Linked DNA regions of Mus musculus. The protein of the gene in region 2 interacts with the protein of the main gene of each other region in a pairwise test. Links are inferred from orthologs where the notes say so. Each region holds a gene or a part of one and is shown on either strand. Other genes may lie near its edges.

Region 1 (2,506 bases), on a different chromosome or scaffold from region 2:
GCTCCTGGCATTGTAAACCATGGAGCCAGTGTTAAGAAGGGGAAACTGAGTGCAGCCGAGGGTGCAGCAAGGTCCTGGCTTGGAGTGCTTATGATCCAGAGGCCTCACTCAGAGCAGTCTGGCAATTCCAGAGCTCAGAGTCTGCAAGCCAGTGGTCTTGCTTAGCCCCATGTTTCATGAAGTTGCCACTGAGGAGCTGTCAGAGAAGCCTCTGGCTTGCTTGCTCAGACACACTCTGACTGACCAGGCTATGTACTCAGAGCAGAGGAGCCTGCCTGGCCTACCACAAAGAGATACAACTCAGGGACAGCAAGCTCTCTCCAGGCCTGCCCTGTGATGATGCTACAATAGCAGCCTCCAAAGCAGGAGAGAAGGATGGCAAAAACTTAGAGACCTTGGGTTCCCTCTTGACCCAGTGGAGGCCCAGTTGTCCTCCTCCCCCGAACTTGTGTGATGAGGAAATCATCCTGTGAAGTCATTACTATGTGATTTGCTATTGTTAAGAAACAGGAGAGAGCCAGGAGAGGTCATGGTCACATAACACAACTTAGGGATGTGGGTCCCATGCTGACGGAGGAGGTATAGTGGTGGGAAGGGTGCCTCACACTGGTGGCGGCTGTAGGTAGTAGAGCTGCAGGTGAGGCCAGGTGGGTGGCGGGGACTGGCTGAACAGCAGGATGGAGAGCAGCAGCAGCAGCAGCAGGCCCAAGACGGGTGTGGGGACCAGTGGGTGCTGGCTGATTCTGGAGGGGAGGCAGGAGAGGCTGACGGTGGCCCCAGGAAGATGGGTCTCACAAACTCATGGCACCCCCACCCGCACCTGGGGACATTTAAAGGGCACACCTGATCCCTGGGGAGTGCTGGGGATGCAGACAGTGCTGGGTCCGTGACCTCTCAACTGGCACCAGGTCTCTCACCACAGGCATGAGGGCTTGGTGCATCTCTGGTACAATGTGGCAACTGGAAGGCAGAAGGGACAGACATTATTACTAGGCTTGGTCTGTCCTAAGTCCCTTCCCAGTTCCCAAGTGTCTCTTTACCTCTCACGAGAGCTTCCTGGGGCAAGTTTATGGTGATAGGTTCCCAGAGGGCTGGAAGGGTCAGCCTGGGTGAGGAAGGACAGAACACATCCAGTCACTGAATTTGCAGCCCTTAGTCAGCACCCTGGATGCAGACTACACAGGAGGCCATGTGTCCCCGCTGGTCAGGGATGACTACAGCCTTCTGCTCGCCGGGTGAGTGAGTGAATGGGGAGAGCAGGCAGGGCAAGAACAGTGCCTATGACACAGTAGTTAACGAGGGCGAGAGACTCTCAGCCCACACTTCTCTTCCTCCTCCCACCTGATCCTGTTGAGTTTCCACCCCCCAGGGCATTGGTTTACAGGTGCGTGTTCCTATGCCAGGCACACATGCTATGGCTAAGTTGCCTCCCAGTGCCAGCCTGTCACCCCTCCTTCTGTCTCTCTGGAAGGGCCACCTGTCTGCCAGTCAGGGTCTTCCAATGCCCACATTTGCTCCAAATACAATGACCAGCAGTGATAAACCAAGTAGCATGCCACTCCCAACTGCTAGGTCTTGCACCCAACTCTGCCTGGCACTGAACTGAGAACAGAGAGGAGCTGGGTCTCCTCAGTGAGGGGCCTGAGTGTGACAGGGCGGTGAGGACTCCAGTGCCTGTCCTACACTTCTCAGTCGCTGGCCTCGTCGCTCATCAACTTCCTTTACCTCCCCTTGACAAGAGCTGGGCTGAGACCTCTACCTGTCCTGCCACGGACAAGGGTGGAGGAGCCCAGGCCCAGGCAGTCTGGCCAGATCTTTGAGCCCACAAGTTCCTTGTTCAACGAGTGTGGGAGTCTGTGGTGCAATTGGGGTGGAATCTGTGAGATCCCAGGCTCAGAGTGGAAACTGCAGCCTGTCTTTTGTAGCTGGGGTCTTCGGGGAATAGTCTGGCTGCCAATTGCCTTCAGCCTCCCCCTCCCGACCCTGCCTCTCATTAGTTGCAGCGAGGGCCTTGTTATCTCCTGACCAAATGATTTTTCTGTCTGTTCCTGAGGAGCACAAGCTTGAGGGAAGAGCTGGGATTAGGTCCTCAGTTTCTGGGGATAGGACAGGTTCCAGGGATTGCCTACCAGGACCCAGCTCTCCTCTTCTTCTTCCTCCTCTTCCTGGCTTCTGGACAACCTATAGCAAACAAAGTCACTGGACACCCTACCTCCCTGTTCTTTTCCCATTCTCAGAAATTTTTAAAAAGCAAATTTTGGAGTTTGTGATCCCCAAAAGGCTCAGAAGCCCTTGAACCAGGCATTCCTAGTTGTCTCCTTCCAGCAGAACCTAGGTAGAACCAAGGTTCCTACTTTGCCCCCAAATCAGACACCCCAGGGTGTGTGAACCCTGGGCACCCATGAGGGTAACTGGTACTGTGTCATTTCTCAGCCCTGGTCTTCCGGGTCTTGTTAGAGACTGGTTGTCCAGCTCCCCTCTCCCAGCCCTGGTACCTTCCTATCTG
Region 2 (4,212 bases):
GGAGAGGTGGGAGGATCAGCACACTGATGAGTGCCCTCCTGTGGATCTGCTGTAGTCAGAAAGCTTCTTGCCCTGGAAACTTGCTCTACAGAAAGATATTATCACATGCTGGATAGTGGTGCCTCGGGCCTTTAATCCCATAGTGTCTGAGGCAGAGGCAGGCCAATCCCTGTGAGATCGAGGCCAGCCTGCTCTATAGAAGTGAGTTCCAGGGCAGCCAGGGCTACACAGAGAAGAAACCATGTTTCAAAATACACACACACTCGGTTTTTATATATACATATTTTTACATATATATATATACATAAATGCACATATAAATAGATATATGTATATTATATATACATATATGTGTATATTATAAATATGTATATGGAATATATAAAAATATAAAAATATTTACATATACTATACTGATATACTTTATATTTATATGTATATTGATACATTTATAAATTATATATAACATATATATTTATACTTATAAACATATTTATATTGTATGTGTATATATAAAAGCACATATTTATATAAACATATGTGTATGGATAAATGTATATATAATCCATGTATATGTGAATGTAGATATTCACATGTAAATTATAGATATATGTAATCTGTAAAACAGGTATTAACCCAACATTGGTAACCTGTATTTAGAGAGGGTGTGTAAGATTAGTAAGCTTGTATCAATTTGTGCCTTTTATTGTTTGATTTTTGTTTTAAATAGTAAGAATTAACTCCTGTGGTGGGTAACAAATGAAAAGAAAATCAATCTGATTACAAAAGATGAAGATTGCTTGTGGACACTGTAAACCAAGGCCTGACACCTTGATACCTAGCTGAAACTCCAGCCAAGGAAGAGCCCACTGCATTAAAGGTCCTGAGGGGAAGTATTTTTGTGTTTAGTGTTTCTACTAGCCCCACAAGGGCAAGAGGTTGTTCCCAGCTTAATAGGAACTGCTCTGCTTTTCCTAGGCACGCAATCCAAGCTGGAAAGTTCAACAAGTGCGTGAACAGAAGAGACCTTCCGGAAATGCTGAATTTGCACTGAGCTGCTGAGGCCCGGTGTGTTTCTCTGGGGACACTGCGGGCTTCGCAGGCAGCCGGCACAGGTCACTATGGCCTCTGAACAGCCCTTCAATGGCCCTCTCTTCCTGGAGTTGTGGCTCTTCCCAGCCCTGCCTCCCAGCCCCGCCCCTCTCTCTGGACGCATCTCTGTGTCCCATCATCACCCGGCGCCGGGCCCTCCCTCCCTGCCCTCCCCTCCTCCCTCCTTCCTTCCTTCCCTTCCTCCCTTTCTCCCTCCCTCCCTCCCTCCCTCCCAGCTCCTCCACCAGGAAACAACCGGATTCCGGATCCCGGCTGCGGCCTGACCCGTGAGATTCCTTAACCTGGCTGGCGGGCGGGGTTGGAGACCAGCTAAGGGTGGGGGAATGGGAGGAGCTGGGCCTTTGGGCTGCTCTTGGGGGTACCGGGAATAGAGATGGTGTCGGCAGGAAGCCCGTGGTCCCGGGTTTCCCAAGAGGGCAGTCATTAAACACGGAATCGGTCCCACAGCTGGCAAAGCTTTGGAGGTAGGGGCCCAGTCCCAGGCGCTGCAGTTCCAGTTCTTTCCGGGCCAGACCCAGGCCTTTCCCACCTAGTTCTCTCTCCCTCCCCTTTTCAGGGCTCCACTCTAGCCGGGAGGATGAAAGGCCTCAGCTGGGGGCTCCCTGCCACCAGCACTGGGTCCTAAGAGCTGCCATCCAGGCTGGGTAAGTGTCCTCTTCCTTTCTGCCCCATTACAGCCCTTGGCTTTTCCCATCTTCCTATTCAGCCCCTGTCTCCTCCCTATCTTGTGCCTCTGCCAACATCTTCGCATCATGCTCCTGGGGAGGTCTTAAGCCCCTTCCTATAGCCAAAAAGGGGTGTGTGTGTGTGTGTGTGTGTGTGTGTGTGTGTGTGTGTGTGTGTGTGTGTGTATAGAGGTGGCATACAGCTGGTGCTGTCGTATGAAAGGAATCTGAAGTAGTCTAAAAATAAGATTTCCTGTTGCACACTTAATTTGACATGTTATACGTGGCCAGCTGCTTATGCTCTGAACCTCCCCATGACTTAAATCCGTTGCTCTTTCTTGGCCCTGCCCAGTGCCTCTGAGCATTTCACCTATCTCAGGAGCTTGATCAAATAGGAAATGTCCCTTCTTGCTCTCTGTCAATAATTTCCTTATATTTATGTCAGTCTGTCATCCTTGCCCCTTTCAGCCGCCCGGATGGCGACCCCAGCCTCAACCCCAGACACACGGGCTCTAGTGGCTGACTTTGTAGGCTATAAGCTGAGGCAGAAGGGTTATGTCTGTGGAGCTGGCCCTGGGGAAGGCCCAGCCGCCGACCCGCTGCACCAAGCCATGCGGGCTGCTGGAGACGAGTTTGAGACCCGTTTCCGCCGCACCTTCTCTGACCTGGCCGCTCAGCTACACGTGACCCCAGGCTCAGCCCAGCAACGCTTCACCCAGGTTTCCGACGAACTTTTCCAAGGGGGCCCTAACTGGGGCCGTCTTGTGGCATTCTTTGTCTTTGGGGCTGCCCTGTGTGCTGAGAGTGTCAACAAAGAAATGGAGCCTTTGGTGGGACAAGTGCAGGATTGGATGGTGGCCTACCTGGAGACACGTCTGGCTGACTGGATCCACAGCAGTGGGGGCTGGGTAAGAAGTTCTCAATTGCTGCTCTCCGCATCCCTCTACAAAGTTGGTCTTCATGGGAAAATAGGGCCTCTGATGGGAGGCTGGGGTTGTGCTGGGAAGGGCTGAGTTCCCTTATTTAAGTGGAATCAGACTGAGAGCATCAAGCTCACAGTACTCCAGGGCTACCATGTAGTAGTAGCTGGATGGGCTTCACGGTCCCAAGCAGAAGACTGAATATAGAGTTTTATAAACAGAGAACCTTCAGCGAATAATTGTGACCCCTGCGTACATAGTATGGGTGGTGAGGCCGGTCAGGGATGGGTCATGGCTAGGCAAGCCTTAGCAAAGGATGCCAGTTCTGAACGGAACTTTATTGCCATGGAAGGGATGGGGCTGACATCACGTAGACAGTGCAGAGGAGCCAGGAACGGGGTTCGGAGGGGCTTGTGTGCAGTAGAGCTTCGGCTGGAGCAGCTGGGGATGGGGGCAGTGCTCACAGTGGATGGAACTGGAACTCTTCCTTCCCTCGTCTCTCCACTATCCTTTCCTGATCTCCCTTTCTCCTTTCTCTACTTCCCTTCTCTCCCACAGGCGGAGTTCACAGCTCTATACGGGGACGGGGCCCTGGAGGAGGCACGGCGTCTGCGGGAGGGGAACTGGGCATCAGTGAGGACAGTGCTGACGGGGGCCGTGGCACTGGGGGCCCTGGTAACTGTAGGGGCCTTTTTTGCTAGCAAGTGAGAAAGTCTAGGGCCAGGTGGGGCTAGGTGTGGCTAGGGGCCAGGAGAGCTGGAACAATAGCGAATGCCCTTGGAAGAAACTGGATGGTCACGGAACAGAGAAAGGCAGGGGAAGGTAGTGTGTGTGGGAGCCCAGCATGCCAGGCAGGTGGCAGGGAGAATGAGTTGGAAACATTAAGGAATGTTTCAAGGCCAAGAACCCAGAGAGTGGAGTCATCCCACGGCTTGGGGGGTGGGGGTGGGGAGGTGGGAGGAATCATGCCCATATCGCGGGCACACAACTACCCGGAACATGGCTTGTAGCTCCAAGGACGGTGAGCTTACTTCAAAGATCTGTGTCTCGACTAGATGAATGGGATTTAGGGAGCCTAGAATTCACTTCCCTTTGGGATGGAAGCTTGGTGATCAGGTGACTGGGTGAAATGGCTGTGGCTGTGGGCTGCATGGGCACACCTGTGCATGTATGTGCACATGCAAGCATGCTCATGTGCATGCTGGGCTGTCTGTCGAATCTGGTGGTGGGGTACTTAGAGAAAACATTCCTTCTTGCTATGGCAAGAACAAGGGCCAGTTCACTGCCCTTCTCCTCTCTGCCCCTTCCCTTGACCTTACGCCTCCAGGCTGAGGGAGGAACACTGTATCTAGACTAGGGCTCTGGTGCTGCCGAGAGTTGTTGGCAGGGCTTTGGAGAGAAGAGTTCTGCAGCTGGCCTTGTTCTTCATCATCCCCCTGTTGTGTGCATCTGTGCACCTGGGCTGAAAAAGGGTAAGGCTGTGGAGCCTGGGTGGGTAGAAGCTTTGGTAGTTG
Region 3 (4,085 bases), on a different chromosome or scaffold from region 2:
CTGTCACCCCACAAGGCAGCATGACACCCTGGCTTGGGGAAGCTGGACTGAGGGTCTGAGTGGCCTTGTCTTCCTGGCTTATGGGCCGGAGTCCGGGACCACAGCAATGGGTGAGAGGGAAGAGCTGGAGTCGACTGAGGGGACAGTCCAGCTGGCTCTGGGCAAACAGGTCAGCAGAGAGCAAGCCCCCAGGCTGTGTCCCTGGCTCCCCATCCTCTGACTGGAACACATCATCTTCTAGCTCCTCCACACACTGAGGTGGCTCCATCTCTCCTGTCAGAGAACAATGGAAGCATCTGGGCTGCTGTCCTACTGAGGCCAGACCTAGGATTCCCCTCCCCTCCTTCCTTCCCCCCTCACCCCCCACCCCTGCTCTTCTTATGTGAGGGAACCAAGCCAACTTCTGATGATACACAACCCTGGTAATAAAACACCACCAAGGGTGACATTCACCCCCAAAATGTGGCCTCTATGGTCAGGGCCCCTCCATGCCTTTTCTCTGTACCTGCCAGAGCCACCCTCCCCCCATCCCCCACCCCACCCCCTCCTCTGACCTAGGCTGGTCACAAAGTTTGACACTGAGGATTTGCGAGCAACAGCAAGGGTAGGATCAGGTGCTACCACCGGGTACCTGGGGACATAGAAGCAAGACTAGCCTCTGTAAGTGGCTGTGGAGGCTCAGAAGGGGACACTTACTGACTATACAAAAGTGCACAACATACTTATGTGCACACACACACACACACACACACACACTTCCTAAGCAGGAACCTCCAGGCTCTCGGCGAAGTCTGAACTCCAGGCTAAGCAGCAAAAACAAGAGCCAGGAATTGTAGAGCAGCCAGGTTCCCTCCTAACGTGCTAAGCCCCACCCTGCTGCACATCTCCACCCCCTCCTTGCACAACACAACAAACAGGCTCTGTGGTGTGGTGAGTGTGTCCTGGAACAGGGGACGTAACTTAGTCACTCCAGCTGGCCAGCTGGCTTAGCTCCCGTCCAGAGGAGCAAAGCTGCCTGCTCACCACAGGTTAATCTGGAGGGTTGAATCGGCCTCTAGCAAAGTGTCCAGCTAATTCTACTCGCTAATCTTCGTGACTTCCAATTCTCATCCACTCAGCCTCCCATTCCTGCCAGAGCTGAACCTGAGATAGGTGCAAAGTGCCTCGCAGAAGGAAGTGAAATTCAGCCCTCCTGCTGAGCGCTCTCTCCCTGCCTACACAGTGGGGCTGTTTCTTAGTGTTAAGTTCCTCTCGCTCCACCTGACAGCTCATGAAATTCTGCACTTGGAGTCACCCGGCAGCTTGAACTTCCAAGCTGACCTCGCCTGAGTTAGGGCCCCTGGGGCAACCAGAAGCATCAACAAGCACCTGAATGGTTAAGGAGATGCAAGGACAAATTTTGTCATCATCAGACTGCTGGGGATTCCAGGGAGTTCCGATCCCCACTTTATTGCCTTTGAAAGACAAGCCAAGTAGTTTGTGGGGCTAAGTCTTTACAGAAATCTCAGTTAGGTTCAGAAACCTTACTTTCCCAAATGCAAGCTCTGTGAGGTTCTTACTTCAACCCTCAAGCCTTACCCCATCCCACCCCTGAGCTATCCGTAGTCCTGTGCCCTCTTCCCTGGAGAATGACTCCATGCCTGCTATTGTTCCGATAGGAAAGGGGTAACTCCAGCGTAAAGTTTCCAGATGAAAGGACCAAGAGATGTCACCTAGCAGTGCTTCTTCTGTCCTTCAACCTCTTCTTTGCAGTGTGGCTATCCCAACCAAAGTAGGGACTCTCCAGAGCCAATCACAAGCAGGAGTCATTGTCTTGGTGTTTCTTTTGAAGCCTATCACTCCCCTCCCCCTCCCAGCAAAGCCCCAAAGTTCAACCCTTGCCTAGACTGGACAGTGGGGGAGGTGCAGCCAGAGGGTGTGGCTCTGAAAACGCGGAGGACCCCCCCCCACTTTGCACAAGAACTGCAGGTGGCTCTCCAGTTAGTGTGAACCTCGGAGGGGCTCTGGGCAAAGTCAAAAGTAAACTGGGGAAGAGTGGAGACCCTCAGCTTCCCTGAGCTAAAGTGGTAAAGTCCAGACTGATAGGAAGAGGGCACTTCCTGAGAGCACCGCCAGGGAATGCTTTATTCCTAGCAAAGGTCTTAAAGTCCGCTGGAGCCATCGCAGAACTTCGGCGATCCAACTAGGATGCTCAATATAAACTCCTCCTCTTAGGAGTTAGCACTAGCCAGATACCTTGAACTCAATAGTGGCTAAGATCTCAGGACACACGCGCACGCACATGCACACACGCACACACACCTGGGTGACTCCAGGACAGCGTCTCAGCCTCCGAGTTGTGATGCCAGGGCTCTGCGCCAGGGTCCAGGGTGAAGAACACTCGGGGGGCTTGGTGCCCACACTCGATTGGGAAGAAGGGGGCAAACTCCAGCTGTTAAGAAGAGGAGCCTTCAGACTCCGCAGGGAGGCAAAATGCACCACAACTTACGGCCCCACCCCACAGTTACACCCGGAGGCCAGAGCGTCCGGGAGCTTGGCAGTGGACCCCAGGATCATTTGCTCACCTACTTTTAACTCCGAATTCCAAATGCTTCCCGAAAGCCCCTCTTGGAGCAGCAACCACAAATTTGTGCTCTGCACCTCGTTCCCACATCCCTGCACCCCAACTCCCCGTGGTCACCCCAGATGCCCGCAGTCCAAACCCTTCCCCGGGCCCCCACGCGCTGCGCGACTCCGCTCCCCACTTCCCGGAGGAGGTACGATCCAACTCCGCCTAGCCCCCCGCCGCCCGGGCGCTCACCGGGCTGCGGTGGGAGGCGGTGGCGCGGGCTGCGGCAGCGACTGCTGCAGGCGCGAGCTGGCGCGGGAGGAGGCCACGGCACACCGCGCGGTATTGTTTCCAAAATACGCCCGCTCCGGGCATCCCGCAAACAGCTGATGAGGCCCCGCCCCTCTTTGCGTCACTCCAACCACTGACCAATGGCAAGTGGAGGTCCAAGTCTCAAGCTGGGCAGCTGCCAGGGACAATCACCAATGTACAAACCTTCCCTTGGAAACATTATAAGGGGCCGGGCGCATTTCTGACCTCCGTCAGAAGCGCAATTGGAGCGCTGTAGAGGGTGAGGATTCGGTTCCTAATGCAAGCCCCAGAAACGACAGAGAGTCCCTAGGTTTTCTACTAGGTAGTGGGGGGACAAGACGCCTAAGTGACTTTTGTCTACTTGGAAATGGGCTGAGTTATTGCAGGACTTCCAAAAAGCCGGCTCAGGAGGAGACTGGGAGTTTTCAGACGCGCCTTGTAATATATAGCGGAAAAAAAAAAAAACCGAGCTGCTGGTCCCTAATAAAAAAAAAGCAAAACAAATAAAAAACCAAAACAAAAAACTGCCCTCTTTCCTGTTGGGCGTGTCTGAGGAAAGCTGGAGGAGAACACGTGTGTCTGCATCTAGAACCAAATGACATTCGGATCCATCAAGTGCAAAGAAAGGCCATGTCCTCTCTTCTAGACTGTGGAAGATCACTGTTGAAAAAAGGACTCTAGCAGAGGGGAAATCAAAGGGGTAGCTCGGACAGCCCTATCTATGGCAGCAGCAGAAGGCTGTTCTTGGACTGCTAAGAAAGCAAAACGCATCTCGTGTACTATGGCCAATCTAGGGATGACTCCACATTTTTTTGAACACCTACTATGTGCCAGGTCCTGGTCTAAGTGCTAGACTTCTGGTGCCTGACCTCAATGAACCGATACTTCACATGTGAATGATGGAAACCAGCTTGAATGGTGCTATTTTAGGGATAATAAGCAAAGATTTTTGAGTCGGGCCTTGAAGAATGGGGAATATTTCACTAAATAAAAACCAAATAAAACAGTCCTGACCCAGAGAGGTCAGGGAGCTAGAATAAAGTACTTAACATGTCTGGAAAGCAAGATCAGCTGCACGCCCCCCCCGTCCCCCCTCCCCCCCATCAAGCTCTCTGGCATCTTCACTATGATTTAGGATGTGAGGGTATGGGCAGGTAGATTCAGGTCAGATTGCAGAGGTGCCCCCTGGAATACCAGGCTGAGGAGTCTGTATTTTTTAAAAGTA

The links.
Region 1: the proteins of Bcl2l2 (region 2) and Kash5 interact in binary tests that used the Homo sapiens proteins (3 or more experiments, as listed by UniProt). The two-hybrid records come from large-scale screens. The link is inferred for Mus musculus from reciprocal best matches to the Homo sapiens genes BCL2L2 and KASH5.
Region 3: the proteins of Bcl2l2 (region 2) and Bmf interact in binary tests that used the Homo sapiens proteins (3 or more experiments, as listed by UniProt). The two-hybrid records come from large-scale screens. The link is inferred for Mus musculus from reciprocal best matches to the Homo sapiens genes BCL2L2 and BMF.

Annotation. Positions count from the first base shown.
Region 1 is NC_000073.6:45,183,149-45,185,654, forward strand, and holds the end of Kash5 (protein KASH5), read right to left. Parts: intron 2,182-2,506; coding exon 2,130-2,181; intron 1,106-2,129; coding exon 1,041-1,105; intron 961-1,040; coding exon 844-960; intron 744-843; coding exon 602-743; 3' UTR 528-601; downstream 1-527. UniProt on the Homo sapiens protein: As a component of the LINC (LInker of Nucleoskeleton and Cytoskeleton) complex, involved in the connection between the nuclear lamina and the cytoskeleton.
Region 2 is NC_000080.6:54,882,128-54,886,339, forward strand, and holds the start of Bcl2l2 (bcl-2-like protein 2), read left to right. Parts: upstream 1-1,297; 5' UTR 1,298-1,379; exon of another isoform or gene 1,380-1,577; intron 1,578-1,669; 5' UTR 1,670-1,757; intron 1,758-2,223; exon of another isoform or gene 2,224-2,246; 5' UTR 2,247-2,254; coding exon 2,255-2,686; intron 2,687-3,256; coding exon 3,257-3,406; 3' UTR 3,407-4,212. UniProt on the Homo sapiens protein: Promotes cell survival. Blocks dexamethasone-induced apoptosis. Mediates survival of postmitotic Sertoli cells by suppressing death-promoting activity of BAX.
Region 3 is NC_000068.7:118,546,740-118,550,824, forward strand, and holds the start of Bmf (bcl-2-modifying factor), read right to left. Parts: upstream 2,948-4,085; 5' UTR 2,924-2,947; coding exon 2,801-2,923; intron 2,432-2,800; coding exon 2,302-2,431; intron 861-2,301; exon of another isoform or gene 642-860; coding exon of another isoform or gene 632-641; exon of another isoform or gene 555-631; intron 274-554; coding exon 1-273. UniProt on the Homo sapiens protein: May play a role in apoptosis. Isoform 1 seems to be the main initiator.